Linked DNA regions of Mus musculus. The protein of the gene in region 1 interacts with the protein of each later gene in a biochemical or structural test. Links are inferred from orthologs where the notes say so. Each region holds a gene or a part of one and is shown in the gene's direction. Other genes may lie near its edges.

Region 1 (2,807 bases):
GAGGAAGATGAAGATGAGGAGTATGAATACATGAACCGGAAGAGGAGGGGTAGCCCGGCTCGGCCCCCCAGACCTGGTTCCCTGGAAGAGCTGGGCTATGAGTACATGGATGTGGGTTCAGACCTCAGTGCTTCTCTGGGCAGTACGCAGAGTTGCCCACTCCATCCCATGGCCATCGTGCCCTCTGCTGGCACGACTCCAGATGAGGACTATGAATACATGAACCGCAGGCGTGGTGCGGGCGGTTCCGGAGGGGATTATGCAGCTATGGGGGCCTGCCCAGCAGCTGAACAAGGGTATGAGGAAATGCGAGCTTTCCAGGGGCCTGGACATCAAGCCCCCCATGTTCGTTATGCCCGCCTCAAAACTCTGCGTAGTTTAGAAGCCACTGACTCCGCCTTTGACAACCCCGATTACTGGCATAGCAGGCTTTTCCCTAAGGCTAACGCCCAGAGAATTTGACCTCGGTTCCTTGAGACTCTTGGGGAACATTTGATGGCAGCTAGTGCCTCTTTGAGGGTAACCCTTCCTCACCCCTTTCTCTGAGGTCCCACCTCCATTTCTCCAAGAATGCCATCTAGTTCTTGGAGATTTGTCAACATATCGTCACAAACTTTTTGCGGTACATAGCCGGCTGTGCACTCTCTTCTCTTCCCAAGCCTAGGAAAGAGAAGTTTCCCTGTGTCTCTCCCTTCCTGATCCCGTTCCTCAGGGAGACTCCCTGGAGATATGAAGGATTACTCTCCAGACCCTTTCTCTCAGGCTCTTACTCATTGGGATTAGACTCTTAAACTTTGCCTTTCTTCCCCAATCAGACTCTAAAGAAGGGGAGATGAAAGAGAAGAGAAAAAGTAAGACTTTTGTTTATGAGACTTTTAATCCCAGAGGAAGATTGAGAAGCTCAAAGCTTTGAGGAGTGAAGTTAGGAGTAGGTACCAGTGACTACGAACTGAACATGCACTGTGAGCCAGGCATCCTCATACTGAACCCCACCTACATTGTCTCAGTTATAATCTTTCCAGTTTTGTGAGGTAGAACTGATCCTGTTTCACCAATATGGAATCTGAGTGTTCCAAGATAGCCAACAGGTCCCGGAATCTTTGAATAGTACTGAATCCTGTAGGGTTTTTTTTTTCTTTTAATATTTTTAATATTTTTTTAATATTCAGTAAACAAAACTGAATTCTGTGATTAGTGACTTTTCCATCTTAACTAAGAACTTATTGTTCTTTTTAGTTTGAGGTGACACAGCAGAGGTTGTACTGATTTTTCTATTTTTCTAATTTAATGGATTTGTTATTATAGACATTACAACCCCCCCCCCCGTGAAGTCAAGAATTTCCACCTTTTCTCAAACAAAAAACCATTTCTTTGACACATTTGAATTAATAGCAGGACTTGCCCTTTGGGCCCATTCTTAGGTAAGATGAGGGTCTTTGAGCACAAGTACTATGAGATCTGTCAGTCAATCTAATAACCAGGCAGGTAATTAAGTGGCTCAAGAGCAAATAGGTTATTCAGTGCGGGTGTACCAGGCAGAGATGATTCATCTACCAAGTGGAACAGGAGAGGCCGGCTGTGATTTCATCGTGCTATTCAGAATGGGTACTATGTAAACTGTAAGGATTATTTATTTCAGGAACTTGTCACTCAGCATGTTTCAGATGACAGTTGACCACAGGTTACTAAAACTGTGGACAGCAAAACCTCAGAAAATGGGGAATTGAGCCTTGAAGAAGCAAAGCCACAGGTCCAGGATTCAAAATCCTCCCAATTCCCATGCCTGTGATTTAACTATAAAGTGTATGTGTGTGTGTGTAAAGCCGGGCCTGGCGACTGGCCTGCAACTGTGTAGCCCAGGATGGCCTTCAACTCCACACACAGCAATCCCATCTTCACCTCTCAAAGGCTGTGGCTACATGTGTGAGCTTCCAGACTCCGTTTGTTGGTGCACTGAATCAAGCAAATGCAGCCAGCCACGTTTTCCTCCAGCACCCAGGCCTCTCATCTCAGGAAGGAGTGGAGATGACACAGGACAAGTAACTAGACATTTTTGTGTAAGCTGCAGGCCATTTACGTTGCAGATACACACTCATTACAAGCCAATTCGCAAAGGTTCCAAGACTCCTATTTTGGGAGCTGTTCTCAACCAGTAGTGATAAACTTCTGGTGGGATAGAAAGAGGATCCATCTTCAAACCTCAAGTCTTCCTGGATGGGAACTGGGGGGAATGTCTTCTTGTACCATTAAAGTTTTTTTGTTTTGTTTTTATACGTGTCTAAATAAAAATGTCAGAGTTTTTTTGTTTGTTTTTGTGGATTCCTGTCAAGTGGAAAGTACACATGACCATCCCTTTTCTTTGCTTCTTAACAATGGGTGGCTTTCTCTGCTTCTGACATTCTGTCACAAGTAATGTAACCAATCTTGATTTGTTCTAAGATTTTAATTATGGGTATGTGAGAGAGTGGGAGTTTGGGAATGGTGTTATGTGCACGTGAGTGCAATGCCCACAGAGGCCAACTACACAGTGCTAAGAGTTACAGGTGACTGTAATGTTCTGGGAACTCCCTTCCCTCTGCAAGGATACCAGGTTATACCAACCAGGTTATTTCTCCAGACCCTGTTTGCATTCTAGTCTTTTTCTTTTGTTTGTTTTTTCGAGACAGGGTTTCTCTGTGTAGCCCTGGCTGTCCTGGAACTCACTCTGTAGACCGGGCTGGCCTCGAACTCAGAAATCCGACTACTTCTGCCTCTCAAATGCTGGGATTAAAGGCGTGCACCACCAGTGCCCGGCTTTGCATTTCTAG
Region 2 (2,583 bases), on another chromosome or scaffold:
TCTCCTTCCGCCGGCCACCCACCCCAGTCCGGGATGCTCAGGCCGTGCGACATTACAGGATCTGGAAGAACAACGAGGGCCGGCTGCACCTGAATGAGGCGGTATCCTTCTCCAATCTGTCTGAGCTTGTGGACTACCATAAGACCCAGAGCCTGTCTCATGGCCTACAGCTGTCCATGCCCTGCTGGAAGGTAGGCCACTGGCTCCTCTGTGACATAGTTGCCCAGGGTCCTACTGGTAGGGTATAATATGGGGGGGAGGGGATGGGGGCACAGGACAGGGCAATCTCCTTGGCTATTGCTCTTATTACACTGGCTCACCAGAGCTCAGATGTGCTCCTGCTGAGGACCAGTCCCTAACATTGATGGATGAAGACAGCAGCAATTTTATGAGGATATCCAGATACTGGATCTATCTCTAAATTTAAAAAAATAGATAATAAATAATAAATAATAAATAGAGCTCCTCATGAGGGGTTGGAGCAAGCCCTTCCTGAAGACAAGCTGGGCGACCCAGCCCCCATTCCTACCCATTCCTATTGCCCTTTCTGTCTCTCCAGCACAAAACTGAGCCCTTGCCCCACTGGGATGACTGGGAGAGGCCGAGGGAGGAGTTCACACTCTGTAAGAAGCTGGGGGCCGGCTACTTTGGGGAGGTCTTTGAAGCGCTCTGGAAAGGCCAGGTCCATGTGGCTGTGAAGGTGATCTCTAGAGGTGAGCAGGCCCAGGACTAACTCAACATGATCACGTGCTGCTTCCCCACTAGTCCTTCTAGTAGGCACTTCCAGTCTTCCCCCACTGAGGGTATCCCAACACACTTGCTGGGCACCCACAGCATCATGGTGGGAGTAACTTCTTTCAATTGTACCTGGTTTTGTTTTGTTTTGTTTTTTGTTTTTGTTTTTAAACAAGTCACTGGAAATGTGAGTTTCATCTCAAATCCCAACGTCACCCTCAGGTTTATACCTGAAACCTCAAGAATCAGGTCAGCCAGGACTTTGAAAACATCTGGCTGGGAAATGCTGACTTTGGCAATTGTGACCAAGTTGGGCACAGGAGGGCAAATGGACACATCAGTCTTGGGGCACTGAGGGCTCGGGGTGGGGAAGGCTTTAGTGTGGTAGCTTGGAGGCCAGCCTTTGTCTTCCTAGGCTGACCACATTGCCTGACTTGCTTCAGGAGGTCTGGGCCAGGATCCTGTTTGGGGCACAGGTCGAGGGCTATACTCACTGAGGTTGATGTCTCTCAGACAATCTCCTGCACCAGCACACCTTCCAGGCTGAGATTCAGGCCATGAAGAAGCTGCGGCACAAGCACATCCTGTCACTGTACGCTGTGGCGACTGCAGGGGACCCGGTCTACATCATCACGGAGCTCATGCCCAAGGGGAACCTGCTGCAGCTACTGCGTGGTACGTGCAAAGCTCCAGTCTCCTTTCCCGGGTGAAAGTGCTGGAGGCAGCATTTGGAGGCACAGACAGCCTGCTCTCTGAGCTTGAGGCCAGCCTGGTCTACAGAGCAAGCTCCAAGACAGCCAGGGCTACACAGAGAAACCCTGTCTCAAACCTTTCTCCTTTCCCTCCCCAAACCCCCCAAAACCAAAGATATAAAACAATCAAGGAAAGACATGCACATGTACACATGTATACATGTGCACACACCCTTAATAATGAGTACATGCATTACATCACACATGCTACATTGCCTCATACATACAAATCGTTAAAAAAAAAAAAAAAAAACCAATGGTGGGAGAGATGGCTCAGTGGGTGAAGTGCTTGCTAGGCAGGCACGAGGACCTGAGTCTGAGTCCCCAGAACTAGTTAGTGTAAAGGCAAGCACAGGAGTGGGCTTCTGTTACCTGAGTCTGAATCCTCAGAACTAGTTAGTGTAAAGGCAAGCACAGGAGCGGGCTTCTGTTACCCCTAGGCTTCTACGGTGAGATGGGAGGCAATGGGAGAATTCTTGTTTTATCTGGCTCAGTAGCAAACCACAAAACCATCCTGGAACACGTCACTGGTGAAGACTAACACCCGATGTTGTCCTCTGACTTCCACATACATACACACACACATCATACATACATACATAACAAAAGAGACAAGTAAATGGTCTTATTAAGTACAAAAAAAATCTACCAATTGCTGATCATAAAATTTGAAAAAGTACAGAAAAGAACTCTCCCTCACAATTTCTATCCTCACAGTTAGCTGAGGTTACTTTACTATAGGCTTGTGTAGCCTGCTAGTGACTTGCCTTAGCCCACCAGCTTCTCTCTAAATTCTAAATTCTCTCTCTTTCTTTGTGTTTCTCATAAAGAGCTTGATCTCATAAGCAGTTTCTGCAGGAAGAAGTCTCCAGAGATGAAACTCATGCCCCTTGTAGGTGTAGTACTTGCTGGCTGCGCATTATCTAGAGTGTTCAATGGCTACATACCAAGAATATCTTGCAGCAATGCTCTTGACCTTAGATTGCTTTATGATTCCCAGAAAGGGTGTCAGACAAAGAATATGCTCTTTGTCTCTAGGTACATAGCTGCAGAAGGTCTAGGCCTTCCCATTTTGCAATTAAGCCAAGCCAGCTGC
Region 3 (4,224 bases), on another chromosome or scaffold:
ACCATAGGAGCAGAGGGGAAAAAAAATTGATCAGGGGAGGCGCTGCAGTGATCCATCTTCCCCAGCAGGGCTGGGTGCGGAATCAGGACAGCCCCGGTTGCCCACCTGGCCATCGGCCTGGAATGTCCTGGGACACAGCCAGAACTCAGGTGGGGATTGCAGAGCCAGGGGCCCTCTCCAGTTACAGCACGGTGCCCCACCCCTTGCCACTCACAGGGCCTTCTAGCCAGGGTACACTGGCAACGATGGGCTTCCTAGAGAACAGGCATGCAGCGGGAAGAGGCCTCAGACTCTTCAGTCTGACAGGTCTTCTGAAGGATCCCTGGGGAGGACTAGAGCAGCCCTTCATCTGTCAGATGGGCGTGAGGCAGAAAGAGGAGAGTCCTGTGGGACCCTGCAAGAGGTGCCAGAACTGGAGGAGTTGCACTGGGACATTCAGTAAATACCATGCAAATGAGGGTGACACGGTGTACATTCTTTCAAATGACAGCTAGCTACAGCATTCCAAAGGCTGCTGTCTAGAGCTTGGGCTGGGAACCCCCAGGCTGTTGACCCTTGTTGTAGGAAGGTTGTTCCATCCTTTCCAAGGGCCCCATACACCTCCTTCCCTTGACTCCTGGGACAGGAAGTTGGCCCTATTCCCAGGAGGGAAGCAGGAGGCCCTAGAGAGGGTGGAGTATGTGTTGGGAGGGGGCCTCCTGTCCAGTCCTCGGGTCCAGTGACAGCCACAGAGGAAGGAGAGACAGGCCAGAAGAGCCATGAAGGTAGCGCTCAGATTCTGGTGGGCGGGTGGGGTCCCCAGTAGAACCTCAGGTGCAGGATCTGGGAGCTAAGCCAGGAACTGTGGGTTGTATCTGGAGAGGAGCAGCTGGGGTGTTCAGGAGGAACCTCCAGTGCTTTGGGTTACAGCAAGATGGACCATTCCTGTAAGCCCTTAGCCCTTCCCGCTGGAACTTGGCGTTGAGGAGGGTACTATAAGATCCTTCTCCCGTCTGACAGGGAAGTTAGCCCTCATCCCTAACTTTCTTTCACCCTGAGGATGTGGAGTGCTGGGCTGTCAGGGGTACTGGTTCCCAGCAACACTCCCTTCCCACAGGAAATCCCAAGGGAGCATGAGGGTTCAGGCTAGAGACTGGCCGGGGACACAGTGTTCTCCACTGGCCCTTGAGCCCTGCCCTGAGACCTGAATTCCCACCCTGTGCCACTGGCTGATTCCAGGGCTGGATCTCAGGACTGCAGACCCCCTGCACACAGTGGCCCACTGGGTGGGAGGCAGCTCCAGAGATGGGGAGAGCCAGAGATCTTAGGCTGACACTCCCAGCAGGGTAGATCCTGGGAATCTGATCTCCTGGCCTCCCCCACATCCTCCCCCACCCCACTTCCTGGAGCAGCGACCTGCCCCCTTCCCGCCTGCACTTCCCTCCACTTCCAGGGCCAGGCTTCTCCACACACCAGCCAGACAGCCTCCCCTCCACCCAAGGGAAGCGGCTGCCTCGGCAGGCTGCTTCCAGGAAGCCCCAGGCCAGGCCCCAGCATTGTTCAGGCCCTGCAGCCAAGAGTCCAGCCAGCCAGACACCATGAAGTCCAGCGGCCCTGTGGAAAGGTTGCTCAGAGCCCTGGGGAGGAGGGACAGCAGCCGGGCCACCAGCAGGGTAGGAGTGCCCACCAGCTGGGCAAAGGTGGGGCAGGGTGGAGGTGCGGACAAGGCGGGAGGGCCAGGATTCAGGCCAGACCAGACCCTCTTCCTAGTTTCAGCCTCTTCTCCTGGCTGGCTCAGCATCCCCCTCCTCTTTCTTTCGCCTGACCCCCTGAGGTGGCTAGGGTAGGGTAGCAGTGTGATTCTAGCATCTGTTTTGACTTCTCTGTGTATTTCCTGGCTTGAGCCTGGATAGGCCCCGAGGGTTCAGCTAAGAGCTCAAGCCCTGACCTCCGGGGGAAGCTTGAGGGAAAAGGTATGGGAAGAAGGCAATGAGGGAAGGGAGGGTGCCTTCTACTGACGTCATCTGCACACGACGTCATCATCCACAAGTGCGTCCAAGTGTCCTGGTGGGTCTCGCCCCCAGTCGTTAAGGGACCAACGCTGCTCCCATGTTATTCTCCTCTTCACACTACGGTGGGCAGATCCAGGGAGAGGAGGGGACAGCGGGAGCTTGAACACACAGCGGTGAAGAATGTGCAGTGGAGTGGTGGGAGGAGTGAGGGAGATTGTCCACAGACTCTAGATAGGAGGGATGAACTGGGGTGGGAGGGGTCAGAACTGCAGTGAAAACTTGCAGTGAGTAGGGACTAAGGGGGACCTGGACAACTGGTGGCAGCCCAGCCAGCCACTGACCTCACTACCTCTGGGTGGGGAGGGGGCATCCGGAGAACCTGGCCACCCCTGTCATAACATGCAGAGGCAGCGAGGCAGCTGCCTGTGTGTCCCCACTGCTATTCCTCCTTCCGAGCGAACGTCTTAGACAATTGCTGCCTGCCGCCTCAGTGCACAGAGAGTAAACATGTTGTTCTGACCGTGGGGGAGGGGGTCATATTAGCTGCCTGGAGCTTGGGGACACTGAGAGCCAGGGGCTCAGAACTGGCTGCAGTCAGTCTGGGTATTATGTGATAGTGCTTGTGTGTCCTGGCCGTCAGCTCACAGTATACAAGCCTCTTGTGGGGAGGGCAAGATGGGAGGAGAGTCAGACCCCCCACTCTGCCAAGATTCAGAAAGCCCTCACATTGGAAGTGGGGGTGTGTGTGACAAGGACATCACATAGCTCCGCCACGTGAGAAGTCCTGAGTGAACCCTTAGGGAGGAGTTGACCCAGCCAAGGTGACGCAAGGGGTCACATTCCAAGCCCTGTAGAGGACAGGCCTCATGACTACCCTGAAACAGCTGTGGCCAAGTGTGCCTTAGAGTTCACAGACTTTTGGCTGGAAGAGAGGGAAGCAGCATCGCTCTAAGGAAAGGTCCCTGCCCAGCCTTGGAGATGAGCCCACTAGGAACACATACCCCTATTTGTCTGTCATCCCACCCGCAGCCGAGGAAAGCAGAACCACACAGCTTCCGGGAGAAGGTTTTCCGGAAGAAAACTCCAGTGTGTGCAGTGTGTAAGGTGACCATCGATGGGACCGGTGTCTCCTGCCGAGGTGAGGTGGTGCTCTTGGTGCCTGAGCCCTCCAGGCAGCACTTCTGTGTGGCTCAGGCTCTAGAGACAGGCAAATTCAGAAACAAATGCCCTCACTCTTCTTGACACCCACCTTGCCACAGCCCAGGAGATTTGTGACTCTACCACCTTCCCATCCTTACCTGTGACTAGGGTCTTCCCTTCCTCTTGCTCCTCCTCCTCTTCTTCTTCCTCCTCCTCTTTTTCTTCTTCCTCCTCTTCTTTTTCCTCCTTTTTCCTTTTCCTCCTCCTTTTCCTCTTCTTCCTCTTCCTCTTCCTTCTCTTTTTCCTCTTCTTCCTCCTCTTTTTCCTCTTCTTCCTCCTCCTCTTTTTCCTCTTCTGCCTCCTCCTCTTTTTCCTCTTCCTCCCCTTTCTCTTCCTCCTCATCTTCCTGTTCCTCTTCTTCTTCCTCATCCTTTTCTTCTTCCTCCTCTTCTTCCTCCTACTGTTCTTCCTCCTCTTCCTCTTTCCCCTCCTCACCTCTATTCATCCTAGACCCCAACCCCCGGCCCTCTTCCCTTACTCCAGAGCAGAACCTGTTGATAACCAGCTCTGTTCTTCAACTCCTAGTAACCTAGTGTACCAGGGTCCCAGAGCTGGCTTCTAAGGCCTGTGGGGCTGGAGCACAGTTATTTTGACTATTCCCGTAAGCCTCTGCTAACCTCTACCCTTTCTCTCTCTAGTCTGCAAGGTGGCCACACACAGAAAATGTGAAGCAAAGGTGAGTATGTGGTTCTATCTAATGGGGAGATGGTGTCTTTCCCTGTCCAGACAGGCATCTTCAGCCTCACTGGCATGGGCCACCATGTCACCCTGTCCCCTGTCACTCACTCCTGGACACCCCTTCCTGGGTGGCAGGGGTGTTGTGTTGGGCTCTTTAAGAAACACCCTACTCCACCCCTGGAGGGTTGGCCCAGGAGGGTGGACAGTGAGACAGCGTTTGTCTTGGTGCTGTGCCCAGGCTGCAGCTGGCGAGAGGATGAGGGGGGGTGGCTGCGGGGGGAGGAAGGGCGGGGTGGATAGAGAGGGAGCAAGATTTCAGAGACCAGGCACCCTGATGGGAGGTGCCTTCCCTCTG
Region 4 (3,046 bases), on another chromosome or scaffold:
GGGTTATCCGATGGTATCCGTCTGTCAGGTGGAAGTGAGAGTCATGCTCCTGCGGCAGACTGGTAGTGAGTGATACCCTGTGCTTTCTTGCTTGTAGGTGCCAAATTCCCCATCAAGTGGACCGCCCCTGAAGCTGCTCTGTACGGCAGGTTCACCATCAAGTCGGATGTGTGGTCCTTTGGGATTCTGCTGACCGAGCTCACCACTAAGGGAAGAGTGCCCTATCCTGGTGAGGAGGCTATACCTGTGTCCCTGACCTTGGCCCTGGGGGCAAGTCTCACCCTCCCCCAACCAACACGCCGCCCCTGGGCTTCCTCTTTCCAAGCTGATCTCTGATCACAGGCTGCCTTTTGTCAGGACTCAGCCTCAGAAGCGGGGTTCTGTACACCATAGGGTCAAGGCTGTCTAGGCTGTGTCAGTCTCTCTGGAGCCATCTCTTCATTGCCCTCTCTGTTCATAGGGATGGTGAACCGTGAGGTTCTGGACCAGGTGGAGCGGGGCTACCGGATGCCTTGTCCCCCCGAGTGCCCCGAGTCCCTGCATGACCTTATGTGCCAGTGCTGGCGGAAGGAGCCCGAGGAGCGGCCCACCTTCGAGTACCTGCAGGCCTTCCTGGAAGACTACTTTACGTCCACTGAGCCACAGTACCAGCCCGGGGAGAACCTATAGGGACTGTGTGCGCAGAACTGTCACCTCTAGGCTTCCGGGTGTTGCCTCCGATGCACCTGCCTCCCTTCATCCTCTCTCTGGGGCTGCGTTGCCTCGGCAATGCCCCTTTTGGAGCATGGAAGGGCTTCAGGGATGGGGCAGCCTGGAAGGACAGGTGGAGGCTGGTACAGTGACTGTCCCATGCCTGCCATGGCCACAGGCTCTCTCTGTGCATTCTCTCTGGAGTTAGCCTGCTTCTCACAGGACACTTGTGACAGCAGAGCTGGGGGTGGTTTTCCAGCCTCGACCCACTGCGCTCACCTGGCACTGCCCCACTTTCTTCACCCTGGGTCTGTTTCAAGCCGGCCAGAGAGCCTTTCCAAAGAGGAATGAGGCCCAGGCCTTGGCTATACGTACTTCCTGCCCCTGGCCATCCTTGTTGGAGGCTTCTGGGTGGAACACTGGGTCTAGAACCTTCTTCCGTGGCTCTCAGGCAGCCCAAGGCCCAACACCAGTTGGGATAAGTGTCAGAGTGAGCACCCCCTCAGCCCGTCCTCCACAAGGGACCCTTGAGATCACTGACACATCACCCCCATTTCTCTGCTGGAAAAAACCAGAATCCAGGAGGGGTTGTGACCTGCCCAAGACCAAGGGCAGTTTAGGGTTGAGGTGGGCTTGGCACCTGGTGCTCCTTCTGTTCCTCAGGAACTAACGAGAACTGTCCTCCAAGGCAGGGGGCAGGGTGGGGCCTGAGAGTGGCTTCAAGTCGGCAGGGTTCTGCTGCCCCTGATGCTCATGGGTCTGTCCCGGGGAAAGAGGCAAGCAGGAGGCTGAGCCAGGAGCGAGGGGTAGAAAGTGGTGGTGTGGAACAGGCTTCTGTTTGTCACAGTGTGGGTGGGCTGGGGTGGAGGGAGCTCTCAGGCTGCAGAGACAGTCAAGTAGAAGAGGAAGAGCTAAGGGGTGTGGAGTCCTGCTCCTCCATTTGTCCTGATCATTTCAACACCTGGCCCTTGCTCTCCTGCCCGTGCCAGGACTCCCTAACTCAGGGAGGGAGGGGAGGTCCTTAGCTGGGGGAAAGGAGGCGAGGGTCCTTACTGCTGTGTACCAACACTGACCCCGCCCTCTCTGAGCTGTACTCTCTGCCCGTGACTATGGCCTCTGTCATTGCTCCGTTCCAACCACCCCCCCCCCCCCCCCCCGTATTGATAGATCCACAGCTGGGCGTCCAAGGGGGTCCTGGAACAGCAGACATCTGACTGTCTGGTCCCTGGCTCCTCTGACCAGCCCTTAGGCTATGTGGTGGCTTCTCTCTGCCTCAGTGTCCGGGTCTGTAAGGTGGGCAGTTGATGATTTGTGGCATCTCAACCAAGGGCCCCTGTGTGTGTGTGTTTGTGTGTGTGTACACATATCTGTGCCTGTGTGTCTTCCCTTGTGTCCATATTTAATGTGTAAGAACATCCCTACTCTATCCCAGACACGACCATTTCACCCATTGCCCCATCACAGCAATAATGTCCCCGCTACTGGGGACCCGAGCCAGCCAGGCCATGTTTGCAGGGAAGGATGCCAAGCAGGGCCTGCCCTGACAGTTCCACTTTACTCCCATATTCTCCCCGTGCTCCTGGCGAGCCTGAGCTTGCCACCCGGTTCTCCCTGCCCGACTCCAGCTGCCCAAGGACCTTTGTGTAAGGTGGCCTCAACTGTCTGGTTTTCTTTTTTTCTTTCTTTTTAACAGTGTTTTGTAGATTTCAGATGACTATGCAGAGGCCTTGGGGACCCCTCCCCAGCTCTGGGCAGGGCCTGGGGATCCCACATTCCATGCCCAGGCTTGGGGGAGGGGGACCCAGACTTGTTGTACATATTTTGCATACTGTCTGATTAAACACAAACAGACCTCAGTTTGGTCAGCAGTTTATTGGACATCGACTGTGTGTGGGAATAAGAAGAGTCGTGGATGTGAGGGAAGCCGGCAGTCAGGGTCCTTGACCCCTGCAGCTAGTGGCTTCTGGGCCTGGAACTGATCAGATGGGGCAGATGCGGCATGTCCGCACTTACTTGAGGATCTGGAGGAGGCACCGAGTCCAGGGCAAGGATGTTTGTGAGATTCAGGACCCTGGCAGGATGGAGCAGAACTGCCTAGCATGCATGGAATGTGTTCCTGGGTAATCTCCAAGGCTGTGGTGTGTGTATGTGTGTGTGTGTGTGTGTGTGTGTGTGTGTGTGTGTGTGCGTGTGTAGGCGGGGTGGGGTGGTCCAGGTGAGCTGTGTGTGCTTTGTGGAGAGTTCCTATCTACCCCCATGCAGTGTTCTCTCTAACTTTCCCTTCCCACTCTCAGTCTCTCCTCCAGAGTTCTCACACATCTCCAGCTTCATATTCAGGGACGGGGCTTGTTCGACT
Region 5 (3,500 bases), on another chromosome or scaffold:
TAGCTGAGTGTATATCTTATTTGCAAGTTGGAGGCAGAGAGCAAGAAACCTCAAAGCTCACCCCCAGTTACAGATCTCTTCCAACAAGGACACACCTGCTAAACATTCTCAAAACAGTTCTACCAAACTAGGGGCCCAGCCTTCGGATATATGAGCCTACCGAGGTTTTTCTCATTAAACCACCACGTGAAGTTATCAGTCAATTGCTTTCTTACAATTCTCATAATGGAGTCTTACTCTCTTACCTGTAAAAGAGCTCAGTGCTTGGAAGACCAGGAGTTTCATAGTCTCTTCCTGGGCCACCGTAAACAGTCAGGAATTGGAACAATAGTAGCCTCTTAGAATTAGTGGGATATTATCTTTCCCCTCTGCTTTTCTAGAAGACGTGGTATTTTCTTTTTTAAATGTCTAGAGGAATCAAGAAACCTTTTCTAACTTCTTAATTTAGATCCCTGCCTCACACCACAGATGTAATGATAGACCCAACTATGAAAGCCAAAATAGGTGGCTAGAGATGACAGAATGGAGCCTCCCATGTTCCCGGGAGGGCCCAGAGAGGCTTCTAGGGTGATGATAATATCTAAATCCTCCTGTCAGGCCACAGGCTGTGTTCTAGATCACCACACTAGCTGTGTGTACTTTCCTGTGTGTGTGTGTCCCACTAATTCTGTTATTTGACCTAGTGTATTTGTTAGGTGTGTGTGTGTGTGTGTGTGTGTGTGTGTGTGTACGTACATGCATGTGGTTTGGGGATCAAGCTCCAGCCACCAAGCTTGGCAGAGAGTATCTTTACCACCTGAGCCCCCACACGGCCCATTTCCTGAATAGTTCTGTTTTGATTCATCGGTTTGAAGGTTCAACAAAAGAAACAACTTCTCATGCTTGTGGAAATTTTACCACAGGTAATTTTTCAAAGCATACCTAGTTAATGTTTGTTCTTTCTTTTAAGCCACATTTTGCTAGAATACTTTCAAGAGTTCAGCATGATCCATGTGATGTTTTTGTGAGGGAATAAAAAAAAATCCATATTTTCGAAACACATTGAGGCTTGCTTAAAAGTAACCAAGCCCAGTGGGAGAGAAGTGTTTCTTTCTCTTTAACTCTGAGCTTGAACAGAATGTGTGCTTCTGATTGGGCATGTTGTGTACACACCTGTGGCCCCCCAGAGCCCCAGAGGTAGAGACAGGGGGATCAGAAGTTTAAGGTCATCTCCTACTATACAGCTAGTTTCAAGCCACAGTGGATTATGTAAGACCCGGACTCAAAGAAAAAAAAAAAGCAAAGCAATGTATTTTTATTTTTTAAATTCTGGGCCCAGAGGCTCATTTGCAATATCATAAAGAAACTTTGTATTCCTTTATGCATGTAGGCAGAACCTAGCTGGGAAACCACATGACACTGCAGCAGGCTGTATGTGTGTCACAACAGGGGAACTTTGTTGAAGCTGGTTGAATATTTCACAATTCGGGGCTTTCCTCAGCCTGGACCATTCTCCATTGCTGTCCACTACACCGGGGTTCACAGGCAGTGGGGCATGGTTCCTCTGTCTGTAAAAGAACAGCTGTAGAAAGAATCTCTTGTGTACTGTATGGAATCATTACCATCATACAGAGCACCAACCACAAACCAGAGAACAATCCCCGAAGTCCAATTTGGGGAACCAGTGACTGGGCACGCATGTGGGGGTTACTCACAGGAGCTGCGTGTGCCGCTGAGAAGTCTGGGCCTCAGTGTGGATGGTGGCCTCTACAGGATGTAGGGTCCCCTAGATGCCCCCTCTCGGGCTCCTGTTAGCTTTCACAGTCGTATGCTCTAGCACCTCCCAAGACCGTGCGTCTATGTTCAGTTAGGACAGGATCTCACACAGATGACTGGGAAGCGCCGGGGGGAGTTCCAGGAATCAGGGTAACAGTCCAGTGAGCATCTCCACCCCTTCCTTATATGGAGGAGCACCAGCATTTGAAGCTGGTCTTTCTTCTCTCTTGCAAAAGGCATAGCTGATCAGATGGAAAGAGCAGGTGTTATATTCAGAGGACGTTAAAGATGATCTTAAACCAACGATCCTCCTGTATCCACCTCTGGGGCTCTGGGGCTCACAGGTGAGCACCCCCATGGCCGGTCTGAAGCACACGAGTTGTTCAAGCTCAGAGTTAAAGGGAAAGAAACACTTCTCTCCCACTGGGCTTTGTTACTTTTAAGCAAGCCTCAACATGTTTCGAAAATACAGATCTTTTTCAATTTCTCACAAAAATATCACATAGATCGTGTTGAACTCTTGAAAGTATTCTAACAAACTGTGGTTTAAATGAAAGAATAAACATCAGCTATGTGTGATTTGAAAATTTACACCTGCCGGGCAGTTGTGGCACACGCCTTTAATCTCAGCACTTGGGAGGCAGAGGCAGGCGGATTTCTGAGTTGGAAGCCAGCCTGGTCTGCAGAGTGAGTTCCAGGACAGCCAGGGCTACACAGAGAAACCCTGTCTCGAAAAAACAAAAACAAACAAACAAACAAACAAACAAATAAACCCCAAAAGAAAGAAAGAAAGAAAGAAAGAAAGAAAGAAAGAAAGAAGGAAAATTTGCACCTGTGATAAAATTTTCACAAGAAGGAGAAAAATGGTACTAGCTATTTATCTTGATGTGTGTGTGTGTGTGTGTGTGTGTGTGTGTGTGTGTGTGTGCAGGTACTCCTGACACAGCACATATATAGAGGCCAAGGGACAACCCTTGGATGTCACCTCTTACCTTTCACCTTGTTTCAAACCGCCTCTGGGGATTCACTGCTGGCCCCACGAATCTCCATAGATTCTCCCCTAGAAGCCCTGGGGTTGCAGACATCTGCTATCCAACTTTCTGTGGGTTCTGGGGATCTGAACTCTTAACCTCACTCTTGCATGCGCTTTTTACACTGGGTTATCTCCCCAGCCCATGGCCGTTTCTTGTTTGTTTTTTTTTTTTCGTTTGTTTGTTTGTTTGTTTTTGGGTTGCTTTGTTTTGTTTTTCTGAATGGCTTTAAGAGATTCTCATTGGGCAGCGGGTGTCAGCACCATTCCCCTCCACCCCCCTCCCCCCAACACACACACAATGTGACTACAGAGAAGAGGACCTCTAGGCAGTTTGGAAAGTTTCTCACAAGTTACAATCTGTGTCACAGAGTTGTGAAAACCGTGGCTGTGAAAATCCTGAAGAACGAGGCCAACGACCCGGCTTTGAAGGACGAGCTGCTGGCAGAGGCGAACGTCATGCAGCAGCTGGACAACCCCTACATTGTGCGCATGATCGGAATCTGCGAGGCGGAGTCCTGGATGCTGGTGATGGAGATGGCGGAGCTGGGGCCGCTCAACAAGTACCTGCAGCAGAACAGGTGACCTGGGGCATGCGAGTTGTGTGCGGTGCCACCCCGCACATGCCCTGTCCCCCGAGTTTGGGCTGTGCCGGGGCCCCGCCCCCACACACGCCCTGTCCCCCGAGTTTGGGCTGTGCCGGGCCTGATTTCTA
Region 6 (3,500 bases), on another chromosome or scaffold:
TCATGCCAGAAGAAGAGTACAGTGAATTTAAAGAGGTATTGTTTACTAGTTTAATCGTTTTTAATGATACTAAACAGAAATATTTACTATTTAATAAAACTCCATTAAGTTAAATAGTAACACCCTATATTAATGGCAGAGAAGAAGCCAGATGTAAAAAACACATACTGTGATTTTGATCTTAATGAGACTAGGAATATAAAGTCAATTTTTAACAATTGTATTCAGTAGATATGTTTTTTCAATTGGTCTTGTTGTGTACTTTCAGCAGTCTTTACTTATGTCACTTTTAGCTTATACTGCAAAAGGAACTTCATGTCGTCTATGCTTTATCACATGTATGTGGACAAGACCGAACACTACTGGCCAGCATCCTACTAAAGATATTTCTTCATGAAAAGCTTGAATCATTGTTGTTATGCACACTAAATGACAGAGAGATAAGTATGGAAGGTAATATATGTGTGATCAACAGTGGTGTAATATTTATCATATTACCTGAGTTTGTACTTAGTAACTCATGAGTAGAAGTCATAAAATACTAGTGTATTTTATTTCTACATTCTATATCAGTTCCAAGGCCACTGTAACATATTACTATGTTTTTCACAGATTCCTAATCTATTTTCTCCCAGCACTTTGATTTGGTGACAATCCTTGCCTTCTTTAACCATAAAAATTACAAAAATTAATTTGTCAAGGAGTAGATAAAATGGTACATATTTTTTTTTATATCTGGTGACATTTGTATAAGAAAGCATTTAATTGGGGCCTTGCTTGCAGTTTCAGAGATTTAATATTTTATCATTATGGCAGTATTAAGCTTGGTAGCATGTAGGCAAACACTGTAGCAGTAGCCAAGAGCTATATCCTGATCTGTAGGCACAGAGAGAGACTCTAGGCTTAGTAGATGGGCTTTGAAACCTCAAGCCGATCTCTAGTGACAACACTTCCTCCATAAGGGCAAACTTCCTAACCCTTCTAATCTTCAAATAGTGTCACTCCTGGTAAATAAGCATTCAAATATTTGAGCCTATGAGGACCATTCTTACTCAAAATACCACAGAGATGAAGTAATTTATTTTTGGTTATGAAATCAGTAGAAAGTTTGTGTTTATCACAAACTGGTGTTCAACACACTGGAGAACTATTTTGAATCTTTTCATATGAACATGATGGTGTTTTTTTCTTCTCACTTATGATAGTCATGATTTAATTCACTCTGAGATCAGGTGATTTAATGCATGTTAACCCCAACATATGTATGTAAAAAGCACATTACTAAAGAAAATTAATTTAATTTTCAGAGTAGTTATATTAGTACAGTTCTGTAAATACAATGAAACATCCATTTTTGTGTAGATGAAGCCACTACCCTATTTCGAGCTACAACACTTGCAAGTACCTTGATGGAGCAGTATATGAAAGCTACTGCCACACAGTTTGTTCATCATGCTTTGAAAGACTCCATTTTAAAGATTATGGAAAGCAAGCAATCATGTGAGGTAAGAATTTATAGTTTTATTCTTTGCAGCAAATAGCATATTTTAATGAGAACTTTAAAAAATGACATCTTTAGGAAAGTACATCATTTCTGAGATGTATCAGTACAATCGTGTTCTCTAGTATATTTATAATCCACCTCTCCTTGAGCACATACAAAGCTCTTTGAGCATTTCTTTTATTATATTAATGACCAAACATACTTTGCCTTGAGAGAATGTGTATAACGTTAATTGAACACTTTTCTAGAGACTTTTGTACGTGTTGAGTATCTGTTATTGGAAAAAAAGAAGTATTTTAAAACATTTGGATGATTTCATATATACAATAAAGTATCCTGGGAATGGAACCTAAGTCTATGACTGAAGTTAATTTTACATGAATTCTTGGAGGCTTGTGTTATGGTTTGCACATCATGTGAAGTTGGATATGGAATTTCCCACATGGATAATGCCATGTCAGCAACCAAAGTCAAACTTCAAGAGGGCTTACCTTGAGTAATATGTTGTAACATCTTCTCTCTAGAGGGATTTCTGGGTTATTTTATAGAAGATGGGGATTAAAAGAAGATGAAATAATCTTTTAAAGATGATTAAGGTTGCACTGTGAGTTTATAGGCAGCCCATACCATTGAGTAGAATCACTCGTACATGACTGTTCTACTTCATGAATGCTACAGAGCAATTTCAAAGAAAGACAGTATACATTTTTAGGCTTGATATAGTGTCAATAAAATAACGAAATACTTTTCAACACTTGGAGCTGTAAAATGTTAATTGTGCCACAACAAAATGAGTGACTTAAGTTGAGGGTAATCCCACAATTACCCTTACTATGAAAGCTGACATAGCTTTCATATTTGTAGATAAATCTAGCAGACCAGAACACTTGGATGGTGGGGAGGAGGGGTGTACTTGAAGGGTCATGATTTTACTTAATATATTTTGATTATTTTCCTTAGCCACTAAGTTGTACCTCATTAAAAACAGCTTTTCTTCTTATATAAACAGAACTGAGTAGTTAAATATTAGTTGAGAAACTAATTTTAGCAAACTTACTGCATTTGTATATGTGGAACAGGTAACAGCTTTGAAAACGACTACTCACTTATCACAATTTACTTGAAATTCAATCATCACAAAAAATAAATTTGTATTTCTCTTAGTTAAGTCCGTCAAAGTTAGAAAAAAATGAAGATGTGAACACTAATTTAGCACACCTATTGAGCATACTTTCAGAGCTTGTGGAGAAAATATTCATGGCTTCAGAAATACTTCCACCGTAAGTTGCCAAATTTTTGTTTTGTCTTTTAATGAATGATTTTTATTATCTTGGCATTATACTCAGACTTTTAGTCCTTAAAAGATGGATTATATTTAAGGGAAAGAGAGTAAAAGAATGAGTAAAATAACTGTTAAAGAAGCTAGATAAAATCACAGGCATTGTGGCACATGTCTGTAATCCCAGTATTGGAGAGGTTGGGTCAAGAAGAGCATAGGCCAGCCTAAAAACATGTATTTACAAATTAGATTGTATGTTTTTGTGGACCAAGTAAGTCTGGCTTATATTTTAGCTTAGGGAGTGATTGAAATGTCTCAAATCTGGGGACAGTATCTGGAAATTTAGTGGTTATTTCTTGCCTCGCATTAGATTTCCTGCAAACAAAAAAAGAAGTTTAAATCTATTCTCATTTCTAATAACTTGTTTCATACTTTTCATTAACACAGAATTTACAATGCATTGAGCTAAGCATACTGGATTATGTTTCTATATCCATCACTGAATGTTTTTCTCATTACTTTTGACAAAACCTTTTTTAGATGAGAAACCCAAATGCATTAAAATATGGTATACAGTTTGGGTAAATTAAAATTTTAGTTGCAACTAGATTATGATGATGCTTACTTTCTGTATTGAGACATTTATGTTATTTTGGCAGGACACTGAGATATATCTATGGGTGTTTACAGAAATCAGTTCAGCATAAGTGGCCTACA
Region 7 (3,978 bases), on another chromosome or scaffold:
AGGATTGAATTCAGGTCCTCTTGCTTGCAAGATAAAGCATTTTACAGACTGGGCTATTGCTCCTCTACTCTGATGACCTAATCCCAGTCCTGTCCCAGAAGCCCCTCCCCTAAATGACACAGACTAAGCTTTCACCTTTTGAAAGAAAGGTGGCCAGGATTAGACTTCAACATAAGCATCCAGTGAACACGTGATAGTCACAGCATAGCGCAGACTTTGAACATGGCATCTAGAATTATCTATCCTCGTTCTCACTGGTGCCAGTTTGTTTCGAGTTGACAGCCCAGAGCTTGGGCTTTGGGGGATCATGCCTAAAATAAGCGACAGCCAGGCTCCCTAGGGCGAACAAAGGGCTCTCCTGGGACAGGCACGTGAGCAGAGTTCCCCTGCAGGGGCTGTGGAATTCCATCTGACGCATTTGGGCTCTTTAATTTATTTTCTTTTTTCCTGTACACCAAAATATTCGTATCACTTTCCAGCTAACAGCAGCTCTAGCTGTACTATATGATATTCTTGGTATATTAACGTCTAACACCAACGAGTCTAATTGTTGTATGTAAATTTACACCGCCATTCATATTTTCTCAGTCGGCTCCCTCCGTTGGCCTCATAATAGAATCCAAAGTCTCCTTGTTGGCTAAAGGGTTAAATGATGTAGCTTTGGGATCCCCTCCGCTGCTCTGGAGACTTAGCTTGCATAGGTCTTCTTTATTCCTTTATTAGGAAAGACTTCATGGGGAAGAGGCTAGCCTTTGACTGGGTCTTCTGTGTGCATTCATAATAAAAGCTGGTACATTCATGGCTGCTCTGTGAGGTAGAAGAACCAGTGAATGAAAGTTTGGGTACAGCTCACCTCCCAGAGAGTGGTCCTGCTTCACCCGGAACTGACCCGATAGTCTCCAACACCCTTATAAAACTAATTTTCCCCATCTCTCTATACCGGCTTGTTTCTTCCTCCCAGAATTTTTGTAATCAATCTGGGTGGTGTTATTTTTTTTTTTTTCTTTCTCTTTTTTTTTCCCACACTGCTGTTGGATAAAAGATCCCGCCCTTGATTGAAATGGAATCTTCCACTATTGAGCGAGCCTTTGTTGAATGAGTCATCGGCTCAGCCTCTCATTGGCTGAAGCCGCCTGAGCCCAGGGGATTGCCTGGCACCGGCTGCAAGGACCCGCTCCATTCACAGAAACGCTGGCTCGCTCGCCGGCCCTTTCATTCACACAAACAGCATCTCATTCACATTCGGTCTGTTTTTTTTTTTTTTCCTTTTTCTTTTTTTCTTTTTGTCTGCTTCTAATGAAGAAGACCACGGTTTGGGAATGGTGGGGCTGACTTGCTTCAGATTGGAGGGGGACTCCAATCACCATCGAAATCGTCCGTGGGGTGCGCATCTGCTGTTGCTATGCGAGCTAGAGGAAGGGAGAAAAGAGAGTGCGGGGTGGCTGTTCAGCTAGGGCTGCCGCGCGGTTGGAGAGCGGTGGGGACGTGTTTGCTGCGCCAGGGCGGGCCTGGCGGCTCTGCGCTTTTTCGTCCTCTGGAACCGGCCTCACTTGCACGGCCGCCACGGGTGGCTCTCCCTAAACTCCCTTCCTGGGGCTCCCAGAAAGCCTGGGAACCGCACTGCCTCCCGAGATCAGCCCTGGGCGTGAGAAGACTCAGGGTGACCTGCTAGTGTGCTAGAAGGCAAATGCATTCGCTTGCACAGAAGTTACCAGGAAACTTTGACAGCGATTGACTTCTCGGTGGTGCAGGTTATCTGTCTTAACACATGAGGCCACCTGGTAGAGGCCACCGAGGAAGGGCTCAGTGGGTCTCAGAATCTTGGTCAGACCCTCGGGGAGGCTGTCGATGTCCTATTCTCCCAAGCGTCAGGAAGAAGGCCTGTGCGTGTCACTGCAAGCCTGGGCCCGACTCGCAAGGAAGAGGCCATTCTTGCTGTGGATTTGATGGACAGTTAGAGCAGCCGCATTTTTTTTCCTGCCTGACTGCAGGGCTGCAAGCAGCAACTGAAGGGACATTGAAACGGATTGGTAATGCTACTAAGGCATGCTTCCAGGGCTGAAACACATTCACTTGGAATAAAACTCAAAACGCGGCCCTCTTTCTCTCTCTCTCTCTTTTTTTGGCATGGATTTCTGGAGCCTGTTGCCGCTCAGCAGAGATGCAGGTTTTTTTTTGAAGTAGATTTTTCAACTGAACCCTAGCTGAGTACGGCTGCTGACTGCTGTAAATTATTAGGGAAGACCCCCTCTGAGCTGTACTGAGAAGAAATTTCTGTGCTGATTTTTTTTTTTTTTCGTGAATTGGTACAGGAATTGCACCGCCACAGATACATGGCTGCTCTGCTGATCTGAACAAGAAAAGCAAACCACAGGAAACTGACAGGTTTTTTTCTTTCTTTCTTAAATATTCATCTGCTGGTGAAGGGTCCCCCCTCTTTTTTTTTTTCCTACTTAAAATTCTTGCTACTTTCCAAAATCAGGATTCATCAGGATTCGCCTTGAAGACTTCTTTAAAAGCCTTCGTCACATTTGAACGCATCCCTGTCAGACACTTCTGGGCTTCATCCACATGAGCTGAGCAAGGGAAGAGCAAGCCATTGCACGGAATAATGGGTTGCGGAAAGTTCAAGAGATCATTTGACGGGACTGGATTTACCTTTGGCACAGATGCGGGATGGGGAGGGGGTAGGTGAAAAGGCAAAGACTGGAAGGAAATATCTGCGAAGGTAGAAAAAGGAAATTTGAGAACTGATTGGCTGTAGTTGCTGTCAGCGGGTGGATGTCGTTTTCTTCTCTCTCTTTTTGCTACAGGAAGTGATTTGCGGAGCTCACCGAGCCTTTGTTGAGAAGGGTCTCCTCAGAGTGAGTCACGCTTTTGCTGGGAGCAGCCCCGTGCAGCTGGCCGCTCGCTCCATCAGCCGCAACTATGACTTTTGCAAGGCAAGCGTTCCACCCCAACCCTCGGTCTCCAGGGCCCGCGCTGCGTGGCTGCTGCTCTGCTGCCTTGTAACGGTGAAAAGGGCTCGGTCGTCGGCCTCGGCTGTCCCTCTCCGGAAAGGCTGTCCTGGGACTCGGGCTCCTCGTCCCGCTCGGGGGACCGCGGCTCGTGTGCTATGCGCGGCAGTCCGCGCCAGGGCCGGCAGCAGCAGCGCCCGGGTGGATGCGGCGAGCCCACGGAGGGGCATGCTTCCACGCACCAAGTACAACCGCTTCAGGAATGACTCGGTGACATCGGTCGATGACCTTCTCCACAGCCTGTCGGTGAGCGGCAGCGGCGGCAAGGTCTCGGCGGAGCCCGCGGCGAGCCCCTACCTGGTGTCGGGCGAGGCGCTGCGCAAGGCGCCGGACGATGGGCCCGGCAGCCTGGGCCACCTGCTCCACAAGGTGTCCCACTTGAAACTCTCCAGCTCCGGCCTGCGTGGCCTGTCGTCGGCCGCCCGGGAGCGGGCAGGAGCGCGGCTCTCGGGCAGCTGCAGCGCGCCCAGCCTGGCGGCCCCGGACGGCGGCAGCGCGACCCCCGGGTCCCGCGCCCCGGCCGCCAGCATGAGTGCCACCAGGAAGAGCCGGGCCGGCGACGAGCCACTGCCCAGGCCCCCTCGGGGCGCGCCGCACACCAGCGATCAGGTGCTGGGGCCGGGAGTCACCTATGTGGTCAAGGTGGGTAACCCGAGCACACTGCTGGGTGGGGGTCTCGGAGACAGGGTGCGGTGGGGAGGAGGAAGTCAGGGCTGGGGACAGATGTCATTCTCTGAAGCCCCAGGGTTCAGGGACAAGCCCCAGGGAACACAGACGACAGTTGGATGTGAGGAAATAAGCCCTCCTTAGCCATTCTCTTGCTCGACAGGGCAAGGAGAGAATTAGAAATGCTCTGTGTGGGGGGGAAAGGGTGAACTGTCTGGTCACCTCGCATGGAGCCTGCTTTCCCCAAGGCACCGTTGTTGAAGCATGCTTTGGTCACCTGGCTTCATCAGATGTC

The links.
Region 2: the proteins of Erbb3 (region 1) and Ptk6 form a complex in vitro, tested with the Homo sapiens proteins (2 studies listed by BioGRID and IntAct, with this or other methods). The link is inferred for Mus musculus from reciprocal best matches to the Homo sapiens genes ERBB3 and PTK6.
Region 3: the proteins of Erbb3 (region 1) and Tns2 form a complex in vitro, tested with the Homo sapiens proteins (2 studies listed by BioGRID and IntAct, with this or other methods). The link is inferred for Mus musculus from reciprocal best matches to the Homo sapiens genes ERBB3 and TNS2.
Region 4: the proteins of Erbb3 (region 1) and Src form a complex in vitro, tested with the Homo sapiens proteins (2 studies listed by BioGRID and IntAct, with this or other methods). The link is inferred for Mus musculus from reciprocal best matches to the Homo sapiens genes ERBB3 and SRC.
Region 5: the proteins of Erbb3 (region 1) and Syk form a complex in vitro, tested with the Homo sapiens proteins (2 studies listed by BioGRID and IntAct, with this or other methods). The link is inferred for Mus musculus from reciprocal best matches to the Homo sapiens genes ERBB3 and SYK.
Region 6: the proteins of Erbb3 (region 1) and Rasa1 form a complex in vitro, tested with the Homo sapiens proteins (2 studies listed by BioGRID and IntAct, with this or other methods). The link is inferred for Mus musculus from reciprocal best matches to the Homo sapiens genes ERBB3 and RASA1.
Region 7: the proteins of Erbb3 (region 1) and Shc3 form a complex in vitro, tested with the Homo sapiens proteins (2 studies listed by BioGRID and IntAct, with this or other methods). The link is inferred for Mus musculus from reciprocal best matches to the Homo sapiens genes ERBB3 and SHC3.

What each region holds. Positions count from the first base shown.
Region 1 is NC_000076.6:128,567,023-128,569,829, reverse strand, and holds the end of Erbb3 (receptor tyrosine-protein kinase erbB-3 precursor), read left to right. Parts: coding exon 1-462; 3' UTR 463-2,307; downstream 2,308-2,807. UniProt on the Homo sapiens protein: Tyrosine-protein kinase that plays an essential role as cell surface receptor for neuregulins.
Region 2 is NC_000068.7:181,197,207-181,199,789, reverse strand, and holds part of Ptk6 (protein-tyrosine kinase 6), read left to right. Parts: intron 1-27; coding exon 28-191; intron 192-559; coding exon 560-713; intron 714-1,248; coding exon 1,249-1,410; intron 1,411-2,583. UniProt on the Homo sapiens protein: Non-receptor tyrosine-protein kinase implicated in the regulation of a variety of signaling pathways that control the differentiation and maintenance of normal epithelia, as well as tumor growth.
Region 3 is NC_000081.6:102,101,510-102,105,733, forward strand, and holds the start of Tns2 (tensin-2), read left to right. Parts: upstream 1-1,424; 5' UTR 1,425-1,577; coding exon 1,578-1,652; intron 1,653-3,020; coding exon 3,021-3,129; intron 3,130-3,829; coding exon 3,830-3,867; intron 3,868-4,224. UniProt on the Homo sapiens protein: Tyrosine-protein phosphatase which regulates cell motility, proliferation and muscle-response to insulin. Phosphatase activity is mediated by binding to phosphatidylinositol-3,4,5-triphosphate (PtdIns(3,4,5)P3) via the SH2 domain.
Region 4 is NC_000068.7:157,469,293-157,472,338, forward strand, and holds the end of Src (neuronal proto-oncogene tyrosine-protein kinase Src), read left to right. Parts: intron 1-97; coding exon 98-229; intron 230-460; coding exon 461-669; 3' UTR 670-2,546; downstream 2,547-3,046. UniProt on the Homo sapiens protein: Non-receptor protein tyrosine kinase which is activated following engagement of many different classes of cellular receptors including immune response receptors, integrins and other adhesion receptors, receptor protein tyrosine kinases, G protein-coupled receptors as well as cytokine receptors.
Region 5 is NC_000079.6:52,634,882-52,638,381, forward strand, and holds part of Syk (tyrosine-protein kinase SYK), read left to right. Parts: intron 1-3,156; coding exon 3,157-3,366; intron 3,367-3,500. UniProt on the Homo sapiens protein: Non-receptor tyrosine kinase which mediates signal transduction downstream of a variety of transmembrane receptors including classical immunoreceptors like the B-cell receptor (BCR).
Region 6 is NC_000079.6:85,223,487-85,226,986, reverse strand, and holds part of Rasa1 (ras GTPase-activating protein 1), read left to right. Parts: coding exon 1-35; intron 36-293; coding exon 294-453; intron 454-1,362; coding exon 1,363-1,505; intron 1,506-2,668; coding exon 2,669-2,784; intron 2,785-3,442; coding exon 3,443-3,500. UniProt on the Homo sapiens protein: Inhibitory regulator of the Ras-cyclic AMP pathway. Stimulates the GTPase of normal but not oncogenic Ras p21; this stimulation may be further increased in the presence of NCK1.
Region 7 is NC_000079.6:51,566,652-51,570,629, reverse strand, and holds the start of Shc3 (SHC-transforming protein 3), read left to right. Parts: upstream 1-1,178; 5' UTR 1,179-3,185; coding exon 3,186-3,659; intron 3,660-3,978. UniProt on the Homo sapiens protein: Signaling adapter that couples activated growth factor receptors to signaling pathway in neurons. Involved in the signal transduction pathways of neurotrophin-activated Trk receptors in cortical neurons.